Linked DNA regions of Xenopus tropicalis. Each later gene encodes a partner of the first gene's protein in a complex. Links are inferred from orthologs where the notes say so. Each region holds a gene or a part of one and is shown on either strand. Other genes may lie near its edges.

Region 1 (4,049 bases):
AAGAATTAGCGTTAGAGAAAGATATCAAACAGTATATACAGGTCCTTTTCAAAAAATTAGCATATTGTGATAAAGTTCATTATTTTCTGTAATGTACTGATAAACATTAGACTTTCATATATTTTAGATTCATTACACACAACTGAAGTAGTTCAAGCCTTTTCTTGTTTTAATATTGATGATTGTGGCATACAGCTCATGAAAACCCAAAATTCCTATCTCAAAAAATTAGCATATCATGAAAAGGTTCTCTAAACGAGCTATTAACCTAATCATCTGAATCAACAAATTAACTCTAAAAACCTGCAAAAGATTCCTGAGGCTTTTAAAAACTCCCAGCCTGGTTCATTACTCAAAACCGCAATCATGGGTAAGACTGCCGACCTGACTGCTGTCCAGAAGGCCATCATTGACACCCTCAAGCAAGAGGGTAAGACACAAAAAGAAATTTCTGAACAAATAGGCTGTTCCCAGAGTGCTGTATCAAGGCACCTCAGTGGGAAGTCTGTGGGAAGGAAAAAGTGTGGCAGAAAACGCTGCACAACGAGAAGAGGTGACTGGGCCCTGAGGAAGATTGTGGAGAAGGACCGATTCCTGACCTTGGGGGACCTGCGGAAGCAGTGGACTGAGTCTGGAGTAGAAACATCCAGAGCCACCGTGTACAGGCGTGTGCAGGAAATGGGCTACAGGTGCTGCATTCCCCAGGTCAAGCCACTTTTGAACCAGAAACAGCGGCAGAAGCGCCTGACCTGGGCTACAGAGAAGCAGCACTGGACTGTTGCTCAGTGGTCCAAAGTATGTCATTCGGAAATCAAGGTGCCAGAGTCTGGAGGAAGACTGGGGAGAGGGAAATGCCAAAATGCCTGAAGTCCAGTGTCAAGTACCCACAGTCAGTGATGGTCTGGGGTGCCATGTCAGCTGCTGGTGTTGGTCCACTGTGTTTTATCAAGGCTAGGGTCAATGCAGCTAGCTATCAGGAGATTTTGGAGCACTTCATGCTTCCATCTGCTGAAAAGCTTTATGGAGATGAAGATTTCATTTTTCAGCATGACCTGGCACCTGCTCACAGTGCCAAAACCACTGGTAAATGGTTTACTGACCATGGTATTACTGTGCTCAATTGGCCTGCCAACTCTCCTGACCTGAACCCCATAGAGAATCTGTGGGATATTGTGAAGAGAAAGTTGAGAGACACAAGACCCAACACTCTGGATGAGCTTAAGGCCGCTATTGAAGCATCCTGGGCCTCCATAACACCTGAGCAGTGCCACAAGCTGATTGCCTCCATGCCACGCCACATTGAAGCAGTCATTTCTGCAAAAGGATTCCCGACCAAGTATTGAGTGCATAACTGAACATAATTATTTGAAGGTTGACTTTTTTTGTATTAAAAACACTTTTCTTTTATTGGGCGGATGAAATATGCTAATTTTTTGAGATAGGAATTTTGGGTTTTCATGAGCTGTATGCCACAATCATCAATATTAAAACAAGAAAAGGCTTGAACTACTTCAGTTGTGTGTAATGAATCTAAAATATATGAAAGTCTAATGTTTATCAGTACATTACAGAAAATAATGAACTTTATCACAATATGCTAATTTTTTGAAAAGGACCTGTATATATATAATAGTAATAATAATAATATATTTCTGTAGCCAATATAACAGATATTTTACCTTACAAGCTACACGATGAGGACAGAACTTTCCAAAACCAAGAGGAGGTTGAATTCGTCGAAGGAGTGTAACTACATCAAGGTGCTTGATTCGCCCCCTGTAGAGATTAACTTTATTAATTTTAAAATATCATATTTGCATATCTGGTTTCTCAAATTATATTGCTTTCCTTATTGTTTTCAGACCAAACTCTTTTGGGTCTTTTTGTTGCTCATGGGCCGCCAGTTTAAGGGATTTAAGGGATGCCCCAGCCTTATGACTCTTTTAACAACCGGACTGGCAGATATTTGAATATTTCAAAGGGGCTGTTCGCTAACTACATTTTTTTGGGGGAAGGGTTTAAATGCCCTGGGAACACCAATTGCACAGGGTTGAAATGATTATGACTGTTAGGGGGTGCACACCACCACTGGCTAGTGCAGAATTCAGAAATTACTGTGTGATTTGTCCTGCTTTTTGTGACTGAGTAATCTGCTGGTTTAACCAGATCAGTCACTTTGCTTGCTCTGAGAAAGTATTCATAATGATCAAGTGAGCTGAACCTACAACTCGAATAAAATGCAAGCATCCTATACCTGCTGTTTTAATAGCATTACCTTACAAAATAAATTTTTTCCTAGTGACTAGACATGCTAAATATAATACTAATTTAATTAATGTAAGTTTTGCAAATAGTTACATGTATAAAATTTTGAAAAGCAGAAAAGGGGGAAGGAGAACAGACAGGCAAAGAGGAAAAAGAAAAAAAATATGTTGTGAAGAGTGGAGGTAAAAGGCATAGCTAAAACTGGGTTGTGTTTAATAGACAGATAGATGAAAAGTCAAGAGAACAGAATAATGACCAGTGGAAAATAAAAGAGAACATGTAAGTAGGCATATTGTTCTAATAACATATATGGTGTTTGCTGTCGGTCCTGATGGATTTCTAATGTGGGGATACCAGGAAATTTGCAGTCCTTCTGCTGGGTGTAAACATCCTCTATAATGGGGGTTCAGCATTTATGCTACTGAGAGTGGGACAAGAGGGACATTCTGCATGTGTACTGCTGGATAACTGAGCTAGTGTGCTGTGAACACTGAATTTGGAACTCTGCACCAATATGATCCTATCTCTTTCTTGCAAAGCAATACACCTACTTGGCTTCAGGGTCATACTCTGCCCAGATCCTTTTAAACTCATCCAAATGGTGTGGCCCCAGAATAGACCAATCACGGGTCAGGTAGTCAAAATTATCCATGATCACAGCGACAAAGAGGTTGATGATCTGTAGAAATATGACATAACAGCTAGTTATTAAAGAACAGAACAATAAAATGAAAATGCAGACTAGTTCTTCTAGAAACTCTCTTACCAAGAAAGCACAAAGCATGTAGAAACTAATGAAATAGAAGTATGCAAAGCTGGTCCCACATGTGTATTCCTCACCAGGCAGGAAATCAGACTTTGGATCACACAGCTTTCCATAAGAACAGGCCAGAAGAATTTCCTGCCAGGCCTCCCCAGTTGCACACCTAAACAGAAATGTTACAAACTTAAATCCGCAGTATTTTTTCATCAGATAAATAAACTGCATTTCTACTTGGAAATGCAAAACATGCAAATCAATATCAAAGCCTTCCATGATATTTCTAGTGAAAATCCCAACTTTCCCAATTGCTAACTTTGGATCTTCTTTTTTTCTATTTTTATCAGTGTCATACTATACACATATATTACCTAAAGAGCACTAGTACAGCCTGAGGGAAAGTCTGAAAGTTGTTGTTGCGATTTATTTGCGTTCCATCAACCATGGCAATTTTACCAAAAACCTAAAAAAGCAAGAAGATATGTATGAAAAATAATGTACTTATTATGTAATTATGTAATAGGCATGGATTAATAAAGGACATATATATTAAAATACTTGCTTTTTAACATTGACTAAGAAGATGGACAGAGGTGCTGTCCTTACGCAATAAGAGGGGAGATTTAAAAAAGGACACAGGAAGGTTAATATCCCAGATAAAGAAGTTTCCATTTTGTCCCCAGAAAGTGTAAAAAAAAATTCATTTATTTTGCCAAAACCACAAATGGACCAATCCCTGGATTACTGTTGTAATAAGACTACTCATATTTATATCAATAGCCTTGTATTTTCAGCCAGAATTGGTCTGTTTTATATGCTGTGGTATGAGTCTTCACTAGAAACATGAACAGACAAAAACAAAAGAAAAAAAATCCTCTGCTAAGCCAGGAACAAAATAACAGTAGTGTTTAAATAGTTAAACAGACTGAAGAGTAGCCAATAGTATACAGTGCACTATATAGTGTATAGTGCAGCCAATAGTGTAATGAATATCTATACTGTGCTTCCCCACCATGTGTAACAT
Region 2 (4,049 bases), on another chromosome or scaffold:
AGCAGCCCAATAAATAGTGACTGTCTATGGCATCTTACAGCCCCCCTGGCATTCCCAGTACCCAGAGGCACAAACAGCCCCCCAGCCCAATAAATAGTGACTGTCTGTGGCACCTTACAGCCCCCCTGGCATTCCCAGTACCCAGAGGCACAAACAGCCCCCCAGCCCAATAAATAGTGACTGCCTATGGCATCTTACAGCAGCCCCTCTGGCATTTGCCAGAACCCACAGATTGCCAGTCTGGGCCTGTATCTATCCTTCCCTCTTTCATAGTGGAGAATTATCAGTTCTGGACTTGGAGTCAAAATAGGCCCTGGCATTTCAGAACCCACAGATTGCTAATCCAGTTCTAACCTCTAGCTGTGGAGGTTACTAATAAAACCCTTAGTATCTGGGGATAATGAGGTATATAACCTGAAGGCCACAGCATCTCTACTACTTATATGTATATACATAGAAGGCACCCAAGGTATATGTGTGGGGAACCTTAAGGGTTGTTAAACCTCAGAAGATCTAGATTCAAAATCACACTTGCAAGTATGTAAAATGACAAAATTTGTACCTCCCATCAAATCGGTGCTTCAAGAAATCAAACAAAGCTTTCTGCATCATATCTGTGACCTGCAGGAGAGGAAAAGAGGCTTTAGAAAGAAAGAAGGAGAGGTCTGGCAAACTGGTGCTACAGGGATGAGAGAAAATAAAAGACACTGAGGTATGACTGACAAGAGAGGGAAACAGAGAAGTGGATTGGATGGAGAAGGGAAGGCAAAGACAAGTATGAAAAAAATTCATATAATATCATATAACCTATTGTTCAGTAAAAAACAAAGTCCAGTGTGCAAATGGCCAGTGCATTTAAAGAAGCCAGTCTGGAACCAGTTGGGAACAACATCCTTTTTTTCCACTATCATTATCATATTGTCTGTTTGAGCCAAGCCAGCTGAAACGTTCAAACCTTGATGAAGTCATCTGTTCCAATTGTTTCTTGGAAATACACATCCAGAAAATCACATGAAACCCTATATCTATAACAGTATCAGTACCAATATGGCCAGCTTAAGTAAAGGGGGAGGCAGGAAAGCCCAAAGTATGACTGACTGCATGATGGATACACAGCAGGAAACAGAAAAGTGAGTAATGCGGAGAGAAGGAAATCTGAAAGACTATCTAGTCAAGTGGCGAATAGGTTTGGGGGTACACGGTCACCTCATAACCCTTTAAAGATGGTCCCACTAGAATGATCGGCCTCATGGATGGAACAACATCATAAGGGGGGATGTGCTCTGTCTGTAAAAGAAAAGATGAATTATCTCACCTCTGTTTACTCACATGGAGTGTTCCAGGGTTTGAAAGAACCTCCCACGCATATTGCTCTGTATACGTATTATTATCGTTATATGGTATATGCATTTACAGCCAACACCACAACACCTCACTGCACCCACAGCAGAAGTTCAGAGACAGCATGGCATGCATTATTTACTGAAAGGCACAGTACCCAAAAGAATGTCACAGACTGAAAGTGACAGCTAAAGAGATAAGAGGGCCATGGTTACAGAGAGACCCCCTGGCAATGATGAAAGCCTGGGCGCTATCATTTGAAAAGAAAATAATTCATAAATTCAGGGTTTCCTGAGCAATAACTGGAGCCGCCCCCCGAAGCATACAGAACAATTATTATTAATAAAATATATTATTGACAAGGGGTCTCTCTGATGCAGACAGGGCTTTCTGCCCTGCCATAAACCCTCCATGGACAAATAAAGACTAGATAGATAGAAGAAAGATAGATAGAAGAAATAATGCAGATACAACGAGTAAACAAGTAATTACTTACTGACTTCTGCCTCTGCTTAGCTATGCCAGTGTGAGAAGAAATGGGAGAGAGGAATGTGACAGGTGTAGAGAGACATAGAGGATAGATGAGGATGTGGGTGGATTGAAGAAGGGATAACCGCAGTGAGGGGGGGAGAAAATGGAGACATAGGGAAGGGGGAGAGGGAATTTACAGGAGGTGTAAGTGAGAAGGAGAAGAGAAATAGTGGAAAGGGTATAAGGCAAAAAAGTAATGAAGAAGAGATGAGTGAGGATCGGGAAGGTGTGAGTGGGAGGAAATGAGTAACAGAATGGATGGCGGGAGGTGGATGAAACAAGGGAGGAAGGAATAAGAAAGCAAAGAGAAGAGGTAAAAATAAAACCATGCATGTTATTTTGTATACTCTCTGAGATATGTATGAACAAGAGCATGCGTCTGTACAGAAACATGCATGTTCCTGTATCTACATATTCAACTACATGCAAAGTACATGTTCTATAGAGTCAGTATGCACCTGCTTCTGTTTAGACACACTAGGTTTATTCACTCTCATAAACACAAGCAGGCATATCATCTGTGTGTCAATATTCTTATATTCACACTGCCTTCCACTTGCTCATACACCTATATGTCCATAGAACTGGAACTCACACATAGGCACACTCTCTTGCTGCCACACTCACACAGATTGGAGATTTATACACACATACATGCATGTATAGAAATGCAAGCATCTGCTAGGCTCACTGAAACTCAAATTTCCAGTTATTATTTCCACAGCACAGAGTGTAAGCTCTTAGGGCAAATATCAATCCTTGCAGGAGAAGCAGGGTTAGTGGCACGATATGGCGACTGGGGGTTACCTTCTTAAAGAAAGGGACCCGTTTGGTAGTGGATGGAGGGGTGGTTACGCTCCCTGTGCTGTTGAGGGGGGAGCGCTGAGCTGCTTGAGCTTCTGTTTCCTCGTACTCTAAATCAACGTGATCTATATCGTAAACTAAAGGGGATTCCAGGGGACCTGAATAGGAAGGGAATGTCCAAGAAAAAAAAGCAAGTGTGAGTGGTAAGAAGCGGGGGGTACAGTAAGAAAATGAGTGGGAAAGCATAGGGACATGAGACAATGTATAAAAAGGAAATACATGAGGTTACAGTGAGATAGGTAAAAGATATGGTGAGTTAAAATGGAAAGATGAGAGGGTAATATAAAATAAGATCATGTTTGACTACATAGGAAATACTAAACACGATGGAAGAAGGGAGGCATTGGAGTGGGGAGAACTGGAAGAACTACATAAAGAAAATATGGAAGAAAAAATTGTTGAAGTAAAGTGGAGAGAAAATAAAGCAGTGAATGGAAATAAAGTTGTCAGGCTGTGCAAGGAAAATGACAGGGGACAAACCTTCTGTTATCGGAGTCTGATGGGGTATATAGTGTCTAACTGAACAGCCTGCCATGGATTTGCATCTCCTGCACTATAATCTCCTTCATCATCTGTTCTACCACTCAGTCTTTCCTGTTCTCTTGCAGGCATGATGCCTTTTCTGTCTATCCTGCAAGGGCCAAACTGATCCTGCCCGGCCCGCCTACCCTAGCCATTTTCTCTGCTAAAACACAGGGTGGAGGAACCTGCACTTGATAGTTGTATAAATGAATGGTAGATTGGAGCAGGAGAGGGTCTCACCTGTAGCTGGGGGTGTAGGTCTGCGGGTCCCACTAACCACATCACCTAAACTGTTGGAATTACCAATGGATTTACTGTAAAAGAGGGAAAATGAAGTTAGGGAAAGCGAAGGAAGAAACAGAAAGTTAAATACAATCATTCAAAAATAATTGAGAGTATTAATGTCCCATAAACTCTTTTCACAGAGAACTTATGCTCTTTGCTCTGATTAGGAGGTGAGCTGGGTGACAATCCCATTAATGTTTTGGTGTGTGACATAGATGGGCTCTGTGATCCTGTAGGCAGCAATCTACAATGACTTTTACATAAATATAATTTACTAGTGATTGTTGGGCCCCTATGTTTGGCCATTCTGAAGGGGCTGCAGTGCTTTAGTGGGCAAAAAAAGATCCCTGCGGTGTCTCCTTTTAAATTACTAAATTTGAGGGGACTAAGAGTGTTGGAGGGCAACAAGCAGCGGTTCAGAACCTTATATATCAGATTCAATTATGACAGGACTCATAAGATGGCCATAGACTGTAAGATCTGCTCATTTGGTGAGGTTGCCAAGC
Region 3 (4,049 bases), on another chromosome or scaffold:
TAGAATATAGGAAAACAGAGCGGTCATTCTGGAGTAGAAAAGTGAAGAGAACATAAGAGTGAGCATATAAAAGAGAAATATAGTGTGGGCATCAGATATAAGCGATAGATAGAAGATAGGAAATGGCAGAGGGGTCATTCTGGAGTAGAAAAGTGACAAGAACATAAAAGTGGAAGTTTAGAGAGAGGGCATAAAAAGAGGACATTGAAGAGAGGGCATAAAAGCAGAGGAATAGTGTTGATGAGGGCATCATAGATAGATAGATAGATGATAGATAGATAGATAGATAGATGATAGATAGATAGATAGATAGATAGATAGATAGATAGATAGATAGATAGATAGATGATAGATAGATAGATAGATAGATGATAGATAGATAGATAGATAGATAGATAGGTAGATAGGTAGATAGATAGATAGATAGATAGATAGATAGATAGATAGATAGAAGATAGGAAATGGCAGAGAGGAGGTTTAGAGAGGGGGCATAAAAAGCAGAGAAGCCAAGTTCTAACAAAGTTGCTGAGGATATTAGATACAGGAGAAAGAAGACAGCAAAAGCCAAGATATTATTCTGGAGTAGAAAAGTGACTGGAGATACAGAAGAGAGAGGGAATGAATATAAAGGCCAGGAGGGAAATGGAGATGTGGGCACATATCATATATCACAGATATAGAGGGAGTGGGAACATATCACGGATATACAGTAGAAGAAGGGAGTGGGTACATATCATGGATATACAGTAGAAGAAGGGAGTGGGTACGTATCATGGATATACAGTAGAAGAAGGGAGTGGGTACGTATCATGGATATACAGTAGAAGAAGGGAGTGGGTACGTATCATGGATATACAGTAGAAGAAGGGAGTGGGTACGTATCATGGATATACAGTAGAAGAAGGGAGTGGGTACCTATCATGGATATACAGTAGAAGAAGGGAGTGGGCACCTATCATGGATATACAGTAGAAGAAGGGAGTGGGCACGTATCATGGATATACAGTAGAAGAAGGGAGTGGGCACATATCATGGATATACAGTAGAAGAAGGGAGTGGGCACATATCATGGATATACAGTAGAAGAAGGGAGTGGGCACATATCATGGATATACAGTAGAAGAAGGGAGTGGGCACATATCATGGATATACAGTAGAAGAAGGGAGTGGGCACGTATCATGGATATACAGTAGAAGAAGGGAGTGGGCACGTATCATGGATATACAGTAGAAGAAGGGAGTGGGCACGTATCATGGATATACAGTAGAAGAAGGGAGTGGGCACGTATCATGGATATACAGTAGAAGAAGGGAGTGGGCACGTATCACGGATATACAGTAGAAGAAGGGAGTGGGCACGTATCACGGATATACAGTAGAAGAAGGGAGTGGGTACGTATCACGGATATACAGTAGAAGAAGGGAGTGGGTACATATCATGGATATACAGTAGAAGAAGGGAGTGGGTACGTATCACGGATATACAGTAGAAGAAGGGAGTGGGTACATATCATGGATATACAGTAGAAGAAGGGAGTGGGCACATATCATGGATATACAGTAGAAGAAGGGAGTGGGCACATATCATGGATATACAGTAGAAGAAGGGAGTGGGCACATATCATGGATATACAGTAGAAGAAGGGAGTGGGTACATATCACGGATATACAGTAGAAGAAGGGAGTTGTTTGAGTCTTAAGAGAAGGGGAATAGAGTGGAACACAGAAAGTGAAAGGAGCATATTAATCAAAGTCGGGAACATTTTCTATACAATTAGAAAGCAGTCATTTATGTATTGCTGGAATCTGTGAAATTTGACAATACTTGAATAAACGTTACTATTTGTTCCATACGTTTTGTACAGTACTGAGGAAAAAAAAGAGATTCCACTGATTTTCCCCCCGCAGAAACATCTCTTAGAAACGACCCTTCTCTGGTATTTAAATCCATAAGCAGCCTCTTTATTTCTAGATGTTACTGTCCTTTTAACTGGAAGCGGATAATATATGTAAGGAGGGCTGCTGGAGATAACAGGGAGCAGATGGAACGAAATGCAGATACATTTATAGAAGAGAGAGAGGCAAATAGAAGGCAAGACATGGGTGGGGGGCGCATTCACCATTAACACATTTCTACTTATCTCACCATCTTCCCCAGACATTGCTGATGAGATACTTCCTCCGAGCACCACAGATGGACTCCTATCTTGCACATCTTACAGCGCAGGCCTTGCTTGGAGTTTCCTGGAAGACACATGGAAAAATGTCACATGTCACATCCATTGATGGCCTGAGGTGAAGCACCAATTACCCTTTGCTTTTTTTGTATAGCAGTTGGGGCTAAAAGCAGAAGCCATTGTTTTCTTTTACCACCCCAAAGTCACTTACCGACAATTATCTGATGGCACAAGTGGCAGGGGCACTGTTTCTTGAAGACGTGTTCATGGAAACTGTGGGTTTGGACAGGTTGCAGGACAGAGAGGGGCTTGTGACAGGGGTGGGGGGACTGTTCAGTCTGAGGGAGAACCTCACTGGGGACCGGAGGTGGAGAGGGGGGAGGCGGAGGGGCAGGTGGGCTGAGAAGGACATCAGAGGGTATTTTGGATTCAGTGAGTGGCCTCTGGAAGAAGTTTTCCACGCTCTTGCTGCGTAGGATTGTCTTCAGAGAGATAGAACGGCGAAAACGCTGAAGCTGGAGAAGAGATCAGGGAAGGAGAGAGTGAGGAAATAATAAAGAAGAGAATAGAAAAACATGAAACAGGGGGGAAAGTGGGGGATTCTGAGGTTTTGAGAATTCTAGTACTGGGGCAATTTCCACCCCACTCTGGGGTCCTACTGTGCAGCTCTCTGTCTCACAAGAGGTTATAGGGCCCCCCGAGAACAACCAAATAAGAGAATAGAAAAACATGAAACAGGGGAGAAAGTGGGGGATTCTGAGGTTTTGAGAATTCTAGTACTGGGGCTATTTCCACCCCACCCTGGGGTCCTACTGTGCAGCTCTCTGTCTCACAAGAGGTCATAGGGCCCCCCGAGAACAACCAAATGTGCCGATGAGATGTGACAGGCCCTACAGACTGGTGACAAGGGTCACAGCTATCATCGGAGAATGACCAGTGCCCAGGGCACACCGCTGACAGCTGGATCACAATGAATTAGGCACAACTGGAAGGACACAATGAGGAGAGTGGAGGGAGCATTAATGGGGTGAGAACGGAATGGGGGGGTGGGTGGGGGACTAAACAAGTCAGTTCCATAAAGAGAGGAAAGGTGCAGGAAAAAGATAAGGGCACAGACAAATATGGATCTAAATCACCATTAACAGCGCTTGGTATAGTGCCGCTGAGATCTATAGGAAGGTTGGGTCTGCAGACGTGTTAGTAGGAAGCATAAAGGTACCCTGGAACCAAAGGGGGTCTCATTGAGCGTTTATAGTCTGCATCTCAAATAAAGCATTTCCATTCATATGTTACAGCCACCATTTCCATATATTTTTTTCTGGATAAGTTCCGTGAATGTATTTTTTCTGCTTTTTAACCCTTTCTATCTCCTCACACATGTAAGAGATGTGCCACATCCCTATTATACGTATAGACTGAAGTCAGCGTTTAAACAAACTCTCCCCCGGAGACACTGGGACAATGCCAAGTGTGAGCTCACTCTGAGCAGCCATTTATCTGCTGGGATGGGAACTGGTCACGTTACTATGCGGCCATGAGAAATACGGGGGGGTGGGGGGGGAACGTGAGGGGGAATAGGGAGGCTTATCAAAGTGGTTATAGGTACTGTTCTTGTGACTCGGGTTTAGAGCAATTAGATTGTAAGCTCTGCAGGGAACAAACTTGTTGCCCTGGATGCATCTGTAATTTTAACCCTGCTACATAATTCAGGTGTAGGACCCGTTATCTAGAAACCCATTATCCAGAAACTTCCAAATTACAGAAAGGCCATCTCCCATAGGCTCTTTTTTAAGCAAATAATTTACATTTTGTTCCTTTCTAATATAGAAAACATTCAATTGTAACAGGTAGAAGAACACCCAGGTATACTGA
Region 4 (4,585 bases), on another chromosome or scaffold:
GTGAGTGAGTAGTGAGACCTATTGCACCTTTAGCTCAAACCCCAGCTCAGTAGCACTCACATGGAAGTGATTCATTGGTTTAAAGGCTACATAGCAGCTAGAAGCAATATTTGGCTACAATTTGTACACAAATTATACCTACATACATACCTATTTACCTACATACATACCTATTTACCTACATACATACCTATTTACCTACATACATACCTATTTACCTACATACATACCTATTTACATACATACATACCTATTTACCTACATACATACCTATTTACCTACATACATACCTATTTACATACATACCTATTTACATACATACCTATTTACATACATACATACATACCTATTTACATACATACATACCTATTTACCTACATACATACCTATTTACATACATACATACCTATTTACATACATACCTATTTACATACATACATACCTATTTACATACATACCTATTTACCTACATACATACCTATTTACATACATACATACCTATTTACCTACATACATACCTATTTACATACATACATACCTATTTACATACATACATACCTATTTACATACATACATACCTATTTACCTACATACATACCTATTTACCTACATACATACCTATTTACATACATACATACCTATTTACCTACATACATACCTATTTACATACATACCTATTTACATACATACCTATTTACATACATACATACCTATTTACATACATACATACCTATTTACCTACATACATACCTATTTACATACATACCTATTTACATACATACCTATTTACATACATACATACCTATTTACATACATACATACCTATTTACATACATACTTACCTATTTACATACATACCTATTTACATACATACCTATTTACATACATACATACCTATTTACATACATACTTTATGTATTTCCCTCTGCCCAGTGATCACTAACAACCCCCCATAGGGGTAGGAAATATGGGGTAGAGGGCAGGGAGAAGTTTAGGGGGTCCCTTGCTCTGCCTCTTACCCCCAGTGACCAGATACTGGGGAGGGGCATCACCTGAATCACCACACATGGGGCCACTGGGTGGGGGCAGACCCATGAGTGTGGGGGGGCTGCAGACAGAGGTGGCCCCTCCTATAATCCATGGGCCCTACTCCCCCCGCACCAGTGATAGATGGTCCTGCCTTGGTATACTGAGCCTCATAGGCCAGCGGATTGCCATATGGTCCTACCCAGTGAGTGCCCTGAGGTCCTACCCAGTGAGTGCCCAACGGTCCTACCCAGTGAGTGCCCAACGGTCCTACCCAGTGAGTGCCCTGAGGTCCTACCCAGTGAGCGCCCTGAGGTCCTACCCAGTGAGCGCCCTGAGGTCCTACCCAGTGAGCGCCCTGAGGTCCTACCCAGTGAGCGCCCTGAGGTCCTACCCAGTGAGTGCCCTGAGGTCCTACCCAGTGAGTGCCCTGAGGTCCTACCCAGTGAGTGCCCTGAGGTCCTACCCAGTGAGCGCCCAGAGGTCCTACCCAGTGAGCGCCCTGAGGTCCTACCAGTGAGTGCCTAACGGTCCTACCCAGTGAGCGCCCAGAGGTCCTACCCAGTGAGCGCCCTGAGGTCCTACCAGTGAGTGCCTAACGGTCCTACCCAGTGAGCGCCCTGAGGTCCTACCCAGTGAGCGCCCTGAGGTCCTACCCAGTGAGCGCCCTGAGGTCCTACCCAGTGAGCGCCCTGAGGTCCTACCCAGTGAGCGCCCTGAGGTCCTACCCAGTGAGCGCCCAATCGTCCTACCCAGTGAGCGCCCTGAGGTCCTACCCAGTGAGCGCCCTGAGGTCCTACCCAGTGAGCGCCCTGAGGTCCTACCCAGTGAGCGCCCTGAGGTCCTACCCAGTGAGCGCCCTGAGGTCCTACCCAGTGAGCGCCCTGAGGTCCTACCCAGTGAGCGCCCTGAGGTCCTACCCAGTGAGCGCCCAATCGTCCTACCAGTGAGCGCCCTGAGGTCCTACCCAGTGAGCGCCCTGAGGTCCTACCCAGTGAGCGCCCTGAGGTCCTACCCAGTGAGCGCCCTGAGGTCCTTCCCAGTGAGCGCCCTGAGGTCCTACCCAGTGAGCGCCCAATGGTCCTACCCAGTGAGCGCCCAATGGTCCTACCCAGTGAGCGCCCTGAGGTCCTACCCAGTGAGCGCCCTGAGGTCCTACCCAGTGAGCGCCCAATGGACCTACCCAGTGAGCGCCCTGAGGTCCTACCCAGTGAGCGCCCTGAGGTCCTACCCAGTGAGCGCCCTGAGGTCCTACCCAGTGAGCGCCCTGAGGTCCTACCCAGTGAGCGCCCAAGGGTCCTACCCAGTGAGCGCCCTGAGGTCCTACCCAGTGAGCGCCCAACGGACCTACCCAGTGAGCGCCCAAGGGTCCTACCCAGTGAGCGCCCAAGGGTCCTACCCAGTGAGCGCCCAAGGGTCCTACCCAGTGAGCGCCCAAGGGTCCTACCCAGTGAGTGCCCAAGGGTCCTACCCAGTGTGCCCGGCTGAGGTCCTACCCAGTGAGCGCCCTGAGGTCCTACCCAGTGAGCGCCCAAGGGACCTACCCAGTGAGTGCCCAACGGCAATAAGGAACCAATATCAATTGTTCATTAAGTAGGGCCCCCCCGGCCCCCACACTCCAGCCCCCCTATGTGGAACAGTTACAGGTTGGCCCCCAGATGAAATGGGAACCCTGGAATCAGAATTTGGGGGGCAAGTTGGGGAAAGAATCTTTGTTGCCTGGTTACCCTGACTTACTTACCCCCAGGAAGGCTCAGGGGGCCACATCCCTTGATCATAGTCTCCTGATCACTCATGAAAATCTTCTTCTTACACAGCCTCCATAGGCCAAAGTGGGCCACCTCGCAGGACTGGGTGTCGTCGTCCAGTTTGGGGCTCAGTACGGCCCAGTGGTCGCTCATTACGGCCGCCAACATGAGCGAGATGCCCACCAGGGCGATACAGGACGTGACCCGGATCTTCAGCACCTTCAGCTCCTTCATGGCTACTGGCTGGGGCCCTTGGCTAGTGAGCGCTCAGTCTACTCCCTCTGCTCTGTGGCTCCTTGTGCTACTGGGGCCGACACTGGGGGAGACTGGGATGGGCCGGGCCCGGGAGCAGCTGTTGGGATCAGTCACCAACTGGGCACAGACATGGGTGGGGGGGCGGGGGGGGCTTATTAATACACGGAGCGGGGGGGGGGTGCCACCTTCACTCCAAGTGTCGCAACTTCCCCCGTCCCTCCTGTCACTCTGATAGTTGCACAACCCCCTGCTATTGATCAACTGCCCCGTCCTACCCCAACTGCCCCATACTGCCCCTGATCCTACCCCAACTGCCCCATACTGCCCCTGCTCCTACCCCAACTGCCCCATACTGCCCCTGCTCCTACCCCAACTGCCCCATCCTGCCCCATACTGCCCCTGCTCCTACCCCAACTGCCCCATACTGCCCCTGCTCCTACCCCAACTGCCCCATACTGCCCCTGCTCCTACCCCAACTGCCCCGTCCTACCCAACTGCCCCATACTGCCCCTGCTCCTACCCCAACTGCCCCATACTGCCCCTGCTCCTACCCCAACTGCCCCATACTGCCCCTGCTCCTACCCAACTGTCCCATGCTGCCCCTGCCTCCTACCCCAACTGCCACATACTGCCCCTGCTCCTACCCAACTGCCCCCATACTGCCCCTGCTCCTACCCCAACTGCCACATACTGCCCTGCTCCTACCCCAACTGTCCCATGCTGCCCCTGCTCCTACCCCAACTGTCCCATACTGCCCCTGCTCCTACCCCAACTGCCCATACTGCCCCTGCTATTGATCAACTGCCCCGTCCTAGCCCAACTGCCCCATACTGCCCCTGCTCCTAGCCCAACTGCCCCGTCCTGCCCTACTATTGATCAACTGCCCATCCTACCCAACTGCCCATACCCCCCCCCCAACTGCTCCATACTGCCCCTGCTCCTACCCCAACTGTCCCATACTGCCCCTGCCCCTACCCCTGCTCCTACCCCAACTGTCCCATACTGCCCCTGCTCCTACCCCAACTGTCCCATACTGCCCCTGCTCCTACCCCAACTGTCCCATACTGCCCCTGCTCCTACCCCAACTGTCCCATACTGCCCCTGCTCCTACCCCAACTGTCCCATACTGCCCCTGCTCCTACCCCAACTGTCCCATACTGCCCCTGCTCCTACCCCAACTGTCCCATACTGCCCCTGCTCCTACCCCAACTGTCCCATACTGCCCCTGCTTCTACCCCAACTGCCCCATACTGCCCCTAGCCCAACTGCCCTGTCCTGCCCCTACTATTGATCAACTGCCCCGTCCTACCCCAACTGCCCCATACTGCCCCTGCTCCTAGCCCAACTGCCCCGTCCTGCCCCTACTATTGATCAACTGCCCCATCCTACCCCAACTGCCCCATACTGCCCCTGCTCCTACCCCAACTGCCCCATAATGCCCCTGCTCCTACCCCAACTGCCCCATACTGCCCCTGTACTAGCCTTTGCTCCTTTCAGCCTCTTGCACCAAGTCACTATCAACCCCCTCATTGCTTTATGCAGGATTGGGGGGGGGG
Region 5 (4,838 bases), about 76 Mb from region 1:
TAATCCAAATACATGAGGCTAAAATACAGGATTGTGCTAACTAGCATTATATCTGTGTGTTCAAGGTATGGGACCTGTTTTCCAGAAGGCTCAGGGTTCTTTCCATAATGTATGTATGTATATCTTTATTTATAAAGCGCTACTTATGTACGCAGCGCTGTACAGTAGAATTCATTAATACAGACAGGGGGTTAAAGATAATGGATAAATACAAAAGATAATGGATAAATACAAAGTACAACAATAAATACAAGGTGCAGTTGGAATAAGAGTCAGAAACACAAGATGAAGGAGGTCCCTGCCCCGTAGAGCTTACAATCTATATGGATCTATAATTTGGATCTTCATACTTTAAGTCCACAAAAAAAAAAATAATTAAACCGTTAAACAAACCCAATGGATGGTTTTACCACCAATATGGATTCACAGCTTAGCTACCATCAAGTACAAGGCACTGTTTCATAATTACAGAGAAAAAAAAATAAAATTATATGGGTAAAATTGAGTCTATGGGAGATGTCCCCTTCCATTATTTGGAGCTTTCTAAATAAATGGTTTCCAGATAACAGATCTCATACCTGTATCCGACATCTGATCCAGTCAGTAAATGCTTTCTTTGAGGATCCCTATGGGTGCCATGTGTAATCTAATGAAGCAACAGAACATTGTATTTCGTACCGAAAACTGCTAGTTCACTGAATGTTTTGGAACTATGAAAATTCTTTCATCTCATATTTTGTACAGGGAACCGCTAGTTCACAGAATGTTCTGGAACTATGAAAATTCTTTCATCTCATATTTTGTACAGGGAACCGCTAGTTCACAGAATGTTCTGGAACTATGAAAATTCTTTCATCATCGTATTTTGTACAGAGAACCACTAGTTCACTGAACGTTCTGGAACTATGAAAATTCTTTCATCACAAGGGTGTTCTAGAGCTGTTGGCGCCATACTCCCTACCAGCTGTATTCCTATATGCCACCTACACATTGTTTAAATACCATTGTTTGAATGCATGCAGTATAATTACGCAAATACAGCAAGCAGAAAACCATAGACGCCTGAAGCTTTCGGTATATTAACCACAGACAGTGCTTGGGGTTTTGTGGACAAACTATTTTCGTAAGCAGTGTAACTGAAGCCCTGGAGATATTAAAAGCCATGTTTGATGGCTGATAACAGCTGTACTCTGTCTGAGCGCTCTGATGGGACATCATCCCACACAAATTCTAAAGGCTTGGCAGCTGACTGTATACTTTTTGTAGATGCGAGGGGTTAAAATTAACAGCTTATGTGTCCAAAGACAGGACAGAAACAGTGAATGTGACACAGGCAGTTTGCATCTTGTTGTAAAGAGAAAGCACCTTCCAAAATATTTGGATGGAAGTAGATGTAGATGCTGGCACTCATACTCACACACATACTGTACATGTATAAAGGCTGCTACTGAATGGAAGAACATACTGGTGTTTCTTATTGGGGAGTCTTTGGCAGCACCTGAGTGATGTGTGTGTTTCACACTACCTTACAGCCCCAGGAGGCAGCTATTAGGACCAAACAAGAGGTAAAGAGATTAAATTACATTAGATCCCCTAACATATCTAGTATGGAATTATCCTAGAATAAATAAAAGTTAAAGACAAGAGAAGACAATTTTTTTGGCCACTAACCATTCCATTTTAGCTAGGGCAGTCTCATGTTTTGGGTTATGAAATGGTCGCAGGCTTACTGAAAAGTGGGTGGAGTTATGGGCAGGTTTGGGTGTGGTCTTGTGGAGTGGAAACATGGCCACAAATATCCCCATTTTTAATCAGCATTGGCAGGAATGTAAGCGGATGTTTGGCAAAGTGCCACTGACACACCCACTAAAGTTTATTGCTTACACACTGGGAGGAAAGATGGGTGATCACAGTGGGTTTTGAAAATGAGTCGATTAGATAAGATATGCCTATAAGCTATTTTATTGGTTCTCTAAAATGTATGGCAGCCAACTTGTTTCACAGCATGAAAAAAATTATCAGATTATAATGTCGGGGGGAATGAATAAGCAGTAGAATGTTTGAAAAATGTTTTAACTACTAGGCAAGACTTAAAGAAACAAGATCTGTTCGATTTTCTTTTACTTATGATATAAAATCAAATTGCAACAGTGTTTTGGTTTGCGCTGCCTAAGCTTAGTTTTCCAGCATTCCGTGTATCCATTTAAGGACTGTAAAGGCTGCAGTGATGGAAACAGTGGGTTCCGGACCGGTGCTCCATGACTCTTATAACCAAATGTTATTTTATAAGGATAGCTAGAATCTCAGCCATAAGGCAGAAGTAACAGGATATAGACATTAAATGCAAACATAAAGATAAATAAAATATTTCTAAAACTGAAATAAATCACTGTCACAAGAAATCCCTATACAGTGATCTAAAGTATTAGAACAAACACTATAATGATTGCATCCCCTGTAAAGCAATAAATCTTTGTCTAAAGAGCTTACAATTTGTGTTAAGCATTTGTTAGTGACTTGCTATAGTCAGAAAAGCAAATGAAACCAAGGTAATGTGCCTATTTCAGGAATAGGCATCTTGCCCCCTTTCCCCCATAATTCTTGCTGAACTACAACTATCAGAATCCCTGCGCTTCTGCCTCAGCTGAAACACTACAGTTCCACTGTATTTAAACTCACAAAAATATATCATTGCTATAAATAATGATAAAGATCAATATATTTATTAACAACCTTGATGTGGCCGAAACATTGTGTATGTGGAATTTTCTTTACAAGATAACTAAAATGAAATCCAAGCAGGTACATGATATTTTGTTTTATGTGGCATAAAGATCATTTAAAAGGAAATACAAAGAAGCATTAAAGGGCAAACAGAAATGGCGTACAATGCCTAGACAAACCTTACACACCTGTAGTTCTCAGATGGGGATCTACTGGAACATTTTGTCTTCAGAAGGCACTTTCAGACCTTAGGTGAGGGGCACAGAGATCCTTCGTTCACTCCTCTCAGATAATGAAACAAACTGCTCCTCAGAGGAGAGGGAGTGACAAGTGTGGAGGTGACAGGACAGCTGAGAGGCAAAGGCTGACACAGAGAAATCGGAAACTTTACAAGCAGCCATAGCACGGAGGCAGTAGGCCCAACCAGGAATTGGAGAGGTGGCTGAGAGGTGGGAAACTGAGGAAAGCGCAGGAGTCATTTCATTCCTGGGAGTTTGTCACACACACAAAACAATTCCTATTTTTACTGGAATTCAACTTGGAAATGATAATATGTTTTGGTTTTAAATGTGCTTTTTTTTCCCTCTTTCCCACTAATGAATATGAAATGCCAGGAAAAGGCTTCAGGCCTGTTTGTGGTTTGGCAGAAGGAATTCCAGAAGGGAGGCAAACAGAAAGGTAAATTATTCAGAAGAAAGAAAAACATCTATAAAGCTTAGATTGCTTAGATTAAATTGCTCTGTGAAATACTAAAGGTTATGTGTTGGGGAATCACCAGTTTATATGCTTTGTGTAATATAAAAATGGCAGTCAGTATGCTAAGCATTGGAAGATATTTTACCCAACACATTCACTGCATTCCATGGATAGAATTCAAGAGACTCAAAACATTCCAACACTGGCTCTAAACATTCTGTTATAATAATTTCAGGAAATGTGTTTCACCTTTAAATTAATTTCATGGGATGGCCAATTTTTAGCAACTTTTCAATGGTCTTTTTATATTTTTTGTATCATTTTGTGCAGCTTTCAAACGGGGGTTACTTATCTTTCTATTCATCCACTCTACTATTCATATTCCAGTCTCAAACTACTGCCTGGTTGCTAGGGTAATTTGAAACTTAGCAACCAGATAGCTGCTAAAATTCCAAACTGAATAGCTGCTAAACAAAAAGCTAAATGCATTGAAACCACCAATAATAAAAAATGAAGACCAACTGCAGATTGTCTCAGCATGTCACTCTCTACATCATACTAAAAGTTAACAGTGGCGTAAGAATGGAGGAAGCAGACCCCACAGTCACCAGGATGGGGGGGGGGGCAGGGGACAGGGGGGCCCGGACCACAGGGGTTGCTTCCTCCAGTACTGCATATAAATCTCTGCTCCGCGTCAGCTTTCAGGTAAGAGAACAGGCAGGTGTGGGGATTCATATGGGAGTGGGCACAGAAGCCAATTCAGGGGGGCAGGGGAGTCTCCAATGAGTCTCCTTGATGACCAAAGAACACAACATTCTATTTTTTTTTTTATTCTGTTCAAAATCTGGAGAATTATTCTCATAGCATAAAAAAGTGTACATTTTATTGTGACGCTCTTCCGTTTAGTGCTAATGTGCAGCTAGATTTGTTACGGGGGGGGGTTAACTTTCTAGAATGGAGCAGCTATAAGTTTATATGTGTTTCCAGCACCAGTTTGCTCGTCTGCTGATGCACCATGCGCAGGGCAACATCTTGATCAGCAGATGGAATAGTGGTACAAATGATCAACCAGTGATAATAAAAACAATTAAATGTCACCCGTTTAGAGGAGGCACAGGGTTGTCACCCTATTATATATGGCAGAGCATCTTTCATACAAAGAGCAGATAATGGGGAAGCCAAACAAACCACACAACATGGGTTTGACCTGCTGAAGCTACAAGTCAGTAACAGTTAGAGGGCTGCAGGTATGTACTGAAACTTTGTATCTTCACTGTCTCTGCTCTACCCTTACACTTACCCTGGCCTTGGATGTTCCCACACCATGAAACTATTAAGGGGAAGTATTACCCTTTTTCTCTAAAACAGACATTAAGGGTCTCTCTGCTAATTAAGAAATAGCTTTTGCATTTCATTTA
Region 6 (4,049 bases), about 72 Mb from region 1:
TATTGCAGATTATACTGTATATACTGAGAGAATATGCAAGCACTGACAAGCAGGAGAGTCACCCGAACCCCACACTCCACTCAAAGCTCACTCTTACCTTGACTGACACACTTGTGTCACTGTAGGAAGGACTTCTGCCACTCTGTTGTGTAAACCTGTGACTGTGTATTGTGGAAGTGCTAGAAGGTATGTGTGGATACAGCCCAAAGAGATTCCCATAGGAGGCCTTTCAATACTACCAGCTTTCGTGGGTGTATAGAATTGGTTGTGTGTGTTAAGCACCATGCTGCCTTGGACTGTAAAATACCTTGTCTTAATTTTTTTGATCCATTTTGGCAGCAGGCGCTGCATATGTGCATCTACTTCTCTCTCTGTTCTACCGTCTCACCTTTGTTTTGCAGCCAATAGCTACCAGGCACCTGGTATATGTAAAAAGGGCTGTTGTTCACCAGTACAGTTTTGCCTCTTGGAGCTACCCTGGAATTTGCACTCAGTGGTTGTGCCTCCTGACATGCACTGCCATGCAGGAGGAGTGTGTGTATGTGTGTAGGACGGGTGTGTGCAGTGAGATCCCTTTCAGTAACTGTCCTTAGGCCATGGGCGGTTACGCTGCCAGTTCCTATCATTATGGTTCTGCTCAGAATCCCGCTCCAGGAGCCGGTCCTGAGAGTCATGCCCATTCGTGCTGTTCAGTCCACTGTTGTGGTGCCTGTGGGGCTGGTACAGGTCAGTGTAGGTGTCAGAGTACTCATCCTCAAGATGGTGAGAGCTTCTTTGTGATGAAGCTGTCCATGTTTTTCGGGATGTTTCACTCGCCTCATCTGATTGCATCAAACTGTCACGCTCCAAGGGTGAGTGCTCATTGGCTCGATCAGAGAGAAGCTGCTGGTCCTGAATGTAAATAGAAACACTTGTTAACTGACAGTGTCAGGCATTTCACATCATGCACACAAACACAGAAGAAATTGCAGCATTGACTGGTATTATACAGGTACAGTACATGGGGCAGGAGGAAGGCATGGCTTATCTGCCCCAGCTGAAGGCATATAGTATAGGATACAAAAAGCTTCTAAACAGGAATAGTAAATAAGATCAGAACACATCAGACAACATTATATAAATGTAAGATTGTTGTCTTTGGCAATTGCTGTAGCAACTATAGACATACGTAGCAATGCCACTTTTAATGAAGCTTTTGTTCCGTGTCAAGGCTCAGATTGGCAAATGCCAGAGGGGCTGCTGTAAGATGCCATAGACAGTCACTATTTAGTAGGCTGGTGGGGGCTGTTTGGGCCTCTGTGTACTTGAAGTGCCAGGGCCTATTTTAAAATCCCAGCCCCGACCTAAGTATCGCTGTCATTCTCCAGACTCCCAGTAAGGAAAAATTGTCATGCAAGATTGCTTCACGATAGCAGTGCCGCCACTGAGGTCTCAACACCAGCATCATACAATACAATGTTCGCTTATTCGATCAGCTTGCCCATTTATTTGTTTCTTTGTTTTCTTTCAGTTTTGCATTGGGCAAACTATTTAAAGGGATTCTGTCAATATTTTTATGGAATACTTTTTATTTCTAAATTACACTATTTACATAGCAAATAATTCACTCTACCATTTAAAATGTTATTCTTAGTCCAACAAATTTATTTGTCTAGCTGTAATATTGGTGTGTAGGCGCCATCTCAGTGCATTGTGCCTGAGTCTGAGCTTTCAGAAGGAGCCAGTGCTACACACAGGGGCGTCTTCCGATGCTGGCCCCCCGAAGGGTGGGGGCATCGCTAGTGTAGAGAGCGTAATTGAGTTGGGTAATATCACTCCAACTTGCAGCTCAGCAGTCCCTGTGCTGCTTGTTCTGGCAGTTGAAACAATATAGCAGAAGCCTGCTAATTAACAAGGTGGCTGAAGCAGCATTGTTACACAGTTTCAAGAATCAGAAGCAGCCGTAATACTAACCTCACAAACCTACATTTACAAATAACTTTAATTAAACATTTTCAATAGTTTTATTGTTTTGCAAATTTTCTTAGAATTAGGTTTCCTTTTATAAGGCAAAAAATCATCTATCCTTTATTTAGAACTTCAAGTTATATACCTGTAAACCAGGAATGGCAGTTGGGGGTGTGATAAGGTTCTGACTGTTTTGGGGGTGCAGCGGGTGGTGTGTGGCTCTCCAGTAAACCTCCATATACTCAGCAAGGTGCTCACAGGCATCTTCCAGCTGGTTCTCATCCAATATCACATCAAACAGTTCCTAGAGAAGAGCAAAGAAATCATTCATGCACAAAGCAGCTGTCAGATTTCATTCAGTGAGCCAGTGTCCATGGAGAAGGGCCTGACACCGGTGACAGATCATGTTATACAGAAATATAGAAAGGCTGCTGGTACTAGAGCTGGGTTATTTATGCTACGTTTCAGTTTTGCTGCACATTTTCAATGCAACATTTCATCAATTCACTACTTATACTATTAAGGTCAAATAATTTTGGAACTTTATGGGGCCTGCCCTCCCAAACATTCAAGCATTAGATTATCAGATTCAGATGACATCTAACGTGCCTTTAGATCTATCACTTCTATATGTTTCATGAGTCATAACCTAAAATGGCTTAGTGCTATTTGCTAACACCACTGGCAGTAAATCATCATTAGAATTCATCTTCCAATGGCTTAATAATCATCTCTGATTTATTATTACAGTGTGACACAGGGGAAATTTAATTTGGTGTGTTTGTCTCATCACATACACACCTTATAGATGGGATTTGTGTGCTAGCCAGGATGCAGCAATCAGATCTGGGCTTGATGTTCGATAAAATCTTTAGTTCAGATTTAGCCTGAATTTACACACATTTAGTTGCTGAATGGAGTTTGGTAAGTCAAAATGACTGTCTGTATGTGACCATAGAGGCGCACAAACAGGACTAGCTACCAACATAGGCTACACCTGATTACAGCTTGATACACCCAAGATACATTCCTAATAAGGTCACAATCATATACGACTGTGTCTCACATTAACCCCCTGCAACTACCCGTATTTTACCTAAAGATGAAGGGGCCACTTATCTTGAAGCCCTGATCTCTGGGACTCATATAATAAGAAACATCTCTAGCAACAGAGCTGGTAGCAAACAATAAGAAACCAAGATATATGATTCAAATAACAAGATAGCAGTTTCCATGCAGAACTAAAGAAATAGTAATTAAATAAACCTAAACATCATAAAATACTATACCTGAGTGATACTTATAAACAAACAAGGAGTAAAATGGATGAAATTCGAAACCTAAGCCCTGGTTTTTGTTGTACAAAAGCACTAGACTCACGGCCCCATTGGCATATTCTCTGTTGGTGTTTTTCACCCAGCAATTAGCCACGTGTGCCATGAGCCTTAAGTTTTATTTTTCATCTACATTCCCATGGGAGCAACCACATGAAAATAAAGACAGAGTTCACCTCCAGCAATATAAAAGAGAGACTCCACAACAGTTGCTGCCATTAATGTTCTCACTCACCGGAGGGCACTGTATCAGCTTGTCGGCTGCCAGCATCTGGACATTGAGATGTTTGACTTGAGATTTTCCCCTGGATTTTATTAATCTTTGCAGCACCTGGAATGTATGTACATGGGAAATTATGCACGGTGATTAACAGATAAATCAGCGCATATATATATATATATATTACCCCTATACAGGGGCACTGCAGTCATGAGGCGAGTTAGGAAACTCGCCTAAGGTGGCAATGCCTGGCAATTTACCAGGGGTGGCAAAAAAACACTCCTGGTAACTTAAAGAGCCGAAATTCCAATTTTTAAAATGGGGGGAGGGGAGCTGGGGGTGGCATCAACTTGGCCCCTGAGGCAGCGCTGCCCCTATATTAAAGGAAAACTATACTGCCAAACAATGTAGGTCTCTATAAAATATATTGCATAAACAAGCTCATATGTAAAAAACTGCCATTTTAAGAATTAAGGGTCATCTCCTGGGATCATATTATTCACAAACAAGCCAAGGCACATGCTAGGCTTCATCAGCCAATTAATGGA
Region 7 (4,049 bases), on another chromosome or scaffold:
TTTCTATCAGCTCTGACTGAGCTTCCTATAGCCTTATTCTTTCTTTAAACAAACTTGGGAGTCATTTACACCCCAGGGTGCAAGTGCTAGAGTGCTTAGGGGTACAAGTGCACGCCCCTTTATGCTCACCTAGGAAGCACTTGCACCCCCTTGGTAAACTGCGCTCTGCTCCTTTCAGTCTGGCTTTAAAGGCAACATGAGGAACAGAGTCAGGAGGCACAGCTAGCACTGCCTTAGGGGACCCTGTGATCATGGATGGGAGCCCTGACTACAGGTTCTGCTTCCTCTGTAGTTGTTAGAAATCCTTCCTCCCCAGCTGTGCAAGCCAGGCCCCTCTGAATATTTTTTTATAGGAGGGAGGCAGTGTGTTGTTATTGCACCACTGGGCCCCAATGTGGGCCATGCCTCCGGATGGTCTCAAACTTTCATGTCTAAATTAATTCCAAATTAGGGGGGCAGGTGGGGAGATGTCTACATGCCACCCCCACCTGCCCCTCTTGGATCAAGCACTGCAAAGTGCAAAAGAATTGCCAATTGCAGCCTGTTTCTGCAGTTTGCACGCTGCGTGGTGCATGATAAATTATCCTTATTGCCTTGAAAAAAGATTTACTAGTCCAAATGATATCGTATAACACATAAGCAGAAATTATAACATTATCTATGGCTGTTAAATTGTTCTCCAGTCTGATTATTTAACAGTTATATGGCACTCTAAAATATTAGCCCTAGCTACTGATGTCTGTTCCATAAGAGGCATTGATCTGTGCTTTAACTCACCAGTGATGCAATAGTTGCACTCCCTGAACCCTACCTTACAGTTCAACATTCATGCTGCTTGAATAGAAATGGAGGCTGCTGGGAGTATAGGAGGCCCTGTGACCTGGACTAGGGCAAACATTCAGTATACCCAAAATATAGAGAATAAAGAGGTGTTACAAATATTGTGCAGCTTCTAGTATACCATCATAATAATGTATAATATTTTTGTCTTTTTAGAAATTTAATAATGACTGGTGGATAGGTCGGCTTGTAAAAGAAGGCTGTGAAATCGGATTTATCCCTAGTCCTGTGAAACTAGAAAACATGAGGATACAACATGAACAAAAAACAAAGCAGGGGAAATTCTATACAAGGTAATCATATTGTTACTTTTAATGGTTTCTCAGTGGTATCAAAAGTTGAATATGACACTAGATTACATGCAGTGTAATGCAAAAATAATATATCATCCTTAGTGGAGGATTTGCTGTATCGGCACCTGTTCCTGACACAATGCTGTGCCGGCCAACACATACCATAAACAAACACGAACATATGATAAACATATTAAACATAACATGAAAATAAGATAAACATATCATGAACATATGATAACTTGAACGTTTGTATAACAAACAACCGTAACAATCCAATAACTGCGCAACGCCACTAGCACTGCCAGCTGCCATCCTAGCCCGGGACCACCAACTCCTCAACAAACTTACTTCCTGATACACCTCCTTACCCTTGAGGTGCCAGGCGTGCCAACCACCAATAACCATGCAACCATTGGTTCCCGGACTCAACCATTCCACCAGCCAAACTATAATATCAACTCACCTGTTTGGGGAGGGAGGGTGGGCGTTTTCCTGTACTGCCTAAAATGGACTGGAAGCGGGAAAGCACAGAGCTTCCTTTTATACCCCTGACTTGCAGCCATTTGAACCCACCAATCCCAAACTAGCTGGGAGTGGCTTACAACCCCTATGGCGCTGTCATGCCCCTGCCTCCCTACGCCCTGCTACGGGTCACCGGTCACTTGAATGAGATAAATGTGTGATAACACACGGCTCTATGCAGTCGTAACTGATAAACACAAACTCCATTATTGTTATACGGAACGCACAAGAGCTGGCTATATCCTGTAACATATTCACTTATATATGCTGTATAACTTATATATCCTCTTGTCAAATATAAGCAAAGTAGAAGTTAAAGGAGAAGGAATATTAGGCACCTCCCAGTGATTGTAATCGCTTACCTTTTACCCCTGACTGGTGCCCCTGTCAGCAGAAAAGTGCACCAACTCATCTTCCTCCTGTCTTCCTGGTCCCGGGGCCAACACATGTACAGGGAAAAGCAGCTTTTTTGTTTAAGTGGCAGAAAGACATAAGAAGGAAGAGGGTCACTCGCTAACAGGTACCCCCCTCCCAGCAGCCAATCAGCAGAACAATGGGAAGGGAGCAAGATAGCGGCTCCCAGTAGGTATCAGAATAGCACTCAATAGTAAGAAATCCAAGTCTGGCTTGGGACTCCTCCAAATATATGTGAGTAGGAGACAATAGGTTAGCTGAAAGCAGTTCTAATGTGTAGCGCTGGCTCCTTCTGAAAGCTCAGACTCAGGCACAATGCACTGAGATGGCGCCTACACACCAATATTACAACTAAAAAAAAATTTGTTCGTTCAATAATAAAATTTTAAATGGTAGAGTGAATTATTTAGTGTAATTAAGAAATACAAAGTATACCATAAAAATCATGACAGTATCCCTTTAAAGGTATGGGATAGCAACACATAATGCAGTGCTAGTTAAACATTTAGGTATCTGCTATGCTCTATATTTTCTAGTTATCACAAGAGATTAATCATTCTGATACTGCTTCAAAGGGGCAAATTGCCATGTTTGTACCCAAGTAATAAATATATATATTCTTTTCTCAATCTCAGTAAATCAGGGGGAAACTCTTCTTCCAGTCTGGGTGACGTGGTGCCTAGCTCCAGAAGATCAACTCCACCATCATCCGGTAAGCAAAGCCTTTCATAGAACACCCTTGGCGCCACTATAATGACCCAAGTCTTCTCTTTATCTTCTGCATTTCTCCAACCCCAGAAAGAAAGCTGAAATTTAGAAAACACAATTATGGGGAGATTACTCATAGGTCCAGGAGGGATTCCTGGCATTTTACCATTGATTCTAATTTTAGCACATTTATCATCTTTTTCCTGACATTCTGTAATTTTGTTAACAATTTTGCTCATTTATCAGATTATTTCTCTACTCACCCTCCACCCCCAACGGCTTTTCATCAGCATTTTTTCTCTAGTGGTCAAAAACCAGTGTTTTACACATAATCTTGCACATCACTCAACAAGTAATGTCTGTACATTAGCTAGAAAAGGTCCAATATAGCACAAAAAGATGAAAAAAGACCTATATACACATACACATTAGGTCTGATTGCTCCAATTGTGTTTCAATTAAAGGGAATTCCACATCCTTTTCTATCATGTTAGTTTATCAACAAAAACTTTACACAATATAGATCATTTACATTTTGTTTTTTTCAATCTTGGAATTCACAATCCCAGCTAGCAGGCAGGTGCCATTTTGTGGGCATTGTTATTAAGGCAAGTTTTGTATCCTGCCAAAATCTTGCCAGAATGGGGGACCAATGCCCATGCACAGGCTACACAGTTATAGGCAGTGAGGAGGGAGGTGGAATGTGAGGAGTGCAGTGACATTTAGGAAGTGCTGCATGGAAAGTGAAAGTAATTGACTGCCCCGCCTCAGGCAATAGATGATTAACAGCTGAGATTTTTACATACCTTTATACAGGTATGTGTGTTTTAATAAAAGTAAATATTTACTTTGCTAAAGACTTTTATTATCAGGATTTTTACGTGTGGGTACCCTGTAAGCAACAATTTAAACACAATATGACACATGTGGTGGGTGTGTGGGCCCCTGGGGTGGCAACCCCGGTGAACCCTGCACCCCCAGTCCAACCCTGGTGATGGATCAACCCACAGGCCAATGAATTGATACCATTTAAGCGCTCATTCATATTATGGCCACCTTTCTATCCTTCCATTCACTCTGGCCGACAGCATGGTGATGATTTAGTCATGCTAGTGTGAAGCAGCAAGCAACTTTTTGGAATTATGGAATTAAAAGCTATCAGCCCCTTAGTGCTCCTTTAAGAACCACCTGTGTCTGGGTCTGGATGTGTTCCGCACCTATTGCCAGAATGGAAATCCGGTTCCAGATGCAGAGTGGGCATAATAAAGA

Evidence for each region.
Region 2: cacna1s (region 1) and cacnb1 share a complex: the UniProt entries of both Homo sapiens proteins name them as parts of the calcium channel complex. The link is inferred for Xenopus tropicalis from reciprocal best matches to the Homo sapiens genes CACNA1S and CACNB1.
Region 3: the proteins of cacna1s (region 1) and stac2 are in contact, whole or in part, in a crystal structure (PDB 6B27), measured with the Homo sapiens proteins. The link is inferred for Xenopus tropicalis from reciprocal best matches to the Homo sapiens genes CACNA1S and STAC2. Residues at the interface, in NP_000060.2 of Homo sapiens: Glu749, Pro750, Glu751, Ile752, Pro753, Ser755, Pro756, Arg757, Pro758; in NP_945344.1 of Homo sapiens: Tyr301, Lys302, Phe303, Gln306, Glu307, Asp310, Asn326, Asp328, Trp329, Phe340, Pro342, Asn344, Phe345.
Region 4: cacna1s (region 1) and cacng1 share a complex: the UniProt entries of both Homo sapiens proteins name them as parts of the calcium channel complex. The link is inferred for Xenopus tropicalis from reciprocal best matches to the Homo sapiens genes CACNA1S and CACNG1.
Region 5: cacna1s (region 1) and stac3 share a complex: the UniProt entries of both Homo sapiens proteins name them as parts of the calcium channel complex. The link is inferred for Xenopus tropicalis from reciprocal best matches to the Homo sapiens genes CACNA1S and STAC3.
Region 6: cacna1s (region 1) and cacnb3 share a complex: the UniProt entries of both Homo sapiens proteins name them as parts of the calcium channel complex. The link is inferred for Xenopus tropicalis from reciprocal best matches to the Homo sapiens genes CACNA1S and CACNB3.
Region 7: cacna1s (region 1) and cacnb2 share a complex: the UniProt entries of both Homo sapiens proteins name them as parts of the calcium channel complex. The link is inferred for Xenopus tropicalis from reciprocal best matches to the Homo sapiens genes CACNA1S and CACNB2.

Annotation. Positions count from the first base shown.
Region 1 is NC_030678.2:63,894,194-63,898,242, reverse strand, and holds part of cacna1s (voltage-dependent L-type calcium channel subunit alpha-1S), read right to left. Parts: intron 3,489-4,049; coding exon 3,397-3,488; intron 3,192-3,396; coding exon 3,032-3,191; intron 2,945-3,031; coding exon 2,817-2,944; intron 1,777-2,816; coding exon 1,680-1,776; intron 1-1,679. UniProt on the Homo sapiens protein: Pore-forming, alpha-1S subunit of the voltage-gated calcium channel that gives rise to L-type calcium currents in skeletal muscle.
Region 2 is NC_030686.2:10,406,495-10,410,543, reverse strand, and holds part of cacnb1 (voltage-dependent L-type calcium channel subunit beta-1), read right to left. Parts: intron 3,573-4,049; coding exon 3,499-3,572; intron 1,858-3,498; coding exon 1,838-1,857; intron 1,288-1,837; coding exon 1,207-1,287; intron 622-1,206; coding exon 563-621; intron 1-562. UniProt on the Homo sapiens protein: Regulatory subunit of L-type calcium channels. Regulates the activity of L-type calcium channels that contain CACNA1A as pore-forming subunit.
Region 3 is NC_030686.2:10,320,155-10,324,203, reverse strand, and holds part of stac2 (SH3 and cysteine-rich domain-containing protein 2), read right to left. Parts: intron 2,693-4,049; coding exon 2,389-2,692; intron 2,245-2,388; coding exon 2,147-2,244; intron 1-2,146. UniProt on the Homo sapiens protein: Plays a redundant role in promoting the expression of calcium channel CACNA1S at the cell membrane, and thereby contributes to increased channel activity. Slows down the inactivation rate of the calcium channel CACNA1C.
Region 4 is NC_030686.2:51,096,847-51,101,431, reverse strand, and holds the start of cacng1 (voltage-dependent calcium channel gamma-1 subunit), read right to left. Parts: upstream 3,066-4,585; 5' UTR 3,009-3,065; coding exon 2,768-3,008; intron 1-2,767. UniProt on the Homo sapiens protein: Regulatory subunit of the voltage-gated calcium channel that gives rise to L-type calcium currents in skeletal muscle. Regulates channel inactivation kinetics.
Region 5 is NC_030678.2:140,076,633-140,081,470, forward strand, and holds the start of stac3 (SH3 and cysteine-rich domain-containing protein 3), read right to left. Parts: upstream 3,012-4,838; 5' UTR 2,904-3,011; intron 1-2,903. UniProt on the Homo sapiens protein: Required for normal excitation-contraction coupling in skeletal muscle and for normal muscle contraction in response to membrane depolarization. Required for normal Ca(2+) release from the sarcplasmic reticulum, which ultimately leads to muscle contraction.
Region 6 is NC_030678.2:135,967,352-135,971,400, reverse strand, and holds part of cacnb3 (voltage-dependent L-type calcium channel subunit beta-3), read right to left. Parts: intron 3,613-4,049; coding exon 3,517-3,612; intron 2,252-3,516; coding exon 2,093-2,251; intron 892-2,092; coding exon 577-891; 3' UTR 1-576. UniProt on the Homo sapiens protein: Regulatory subunit of the voltage-gated calcium channel that gives rise to L-type calcium currents. Increases CACNA1B peak calcium current and shifts the voltage dependencies of channel activation and inactivation.
Region 7 is NC_030682.2:28,138,934-28,142,982, reverse strand, and holds part of cacnb2 (voltage-dependent L-type calcium channel subunit beta-2), read left to right. Parts: intron 1-996; coding exon 997-1,133; intron 1,134-2,707; coding exon 2,708-2,784; intron 2,785-4,049. UniProt on the Homo sapiens protein: Beta subunit of voltage-dependent calcium channels which contributes to the function of the calcium channel by increasing peak calcium current. Plays a role in shifting voltage dependencies of activation and inactivation of the channel.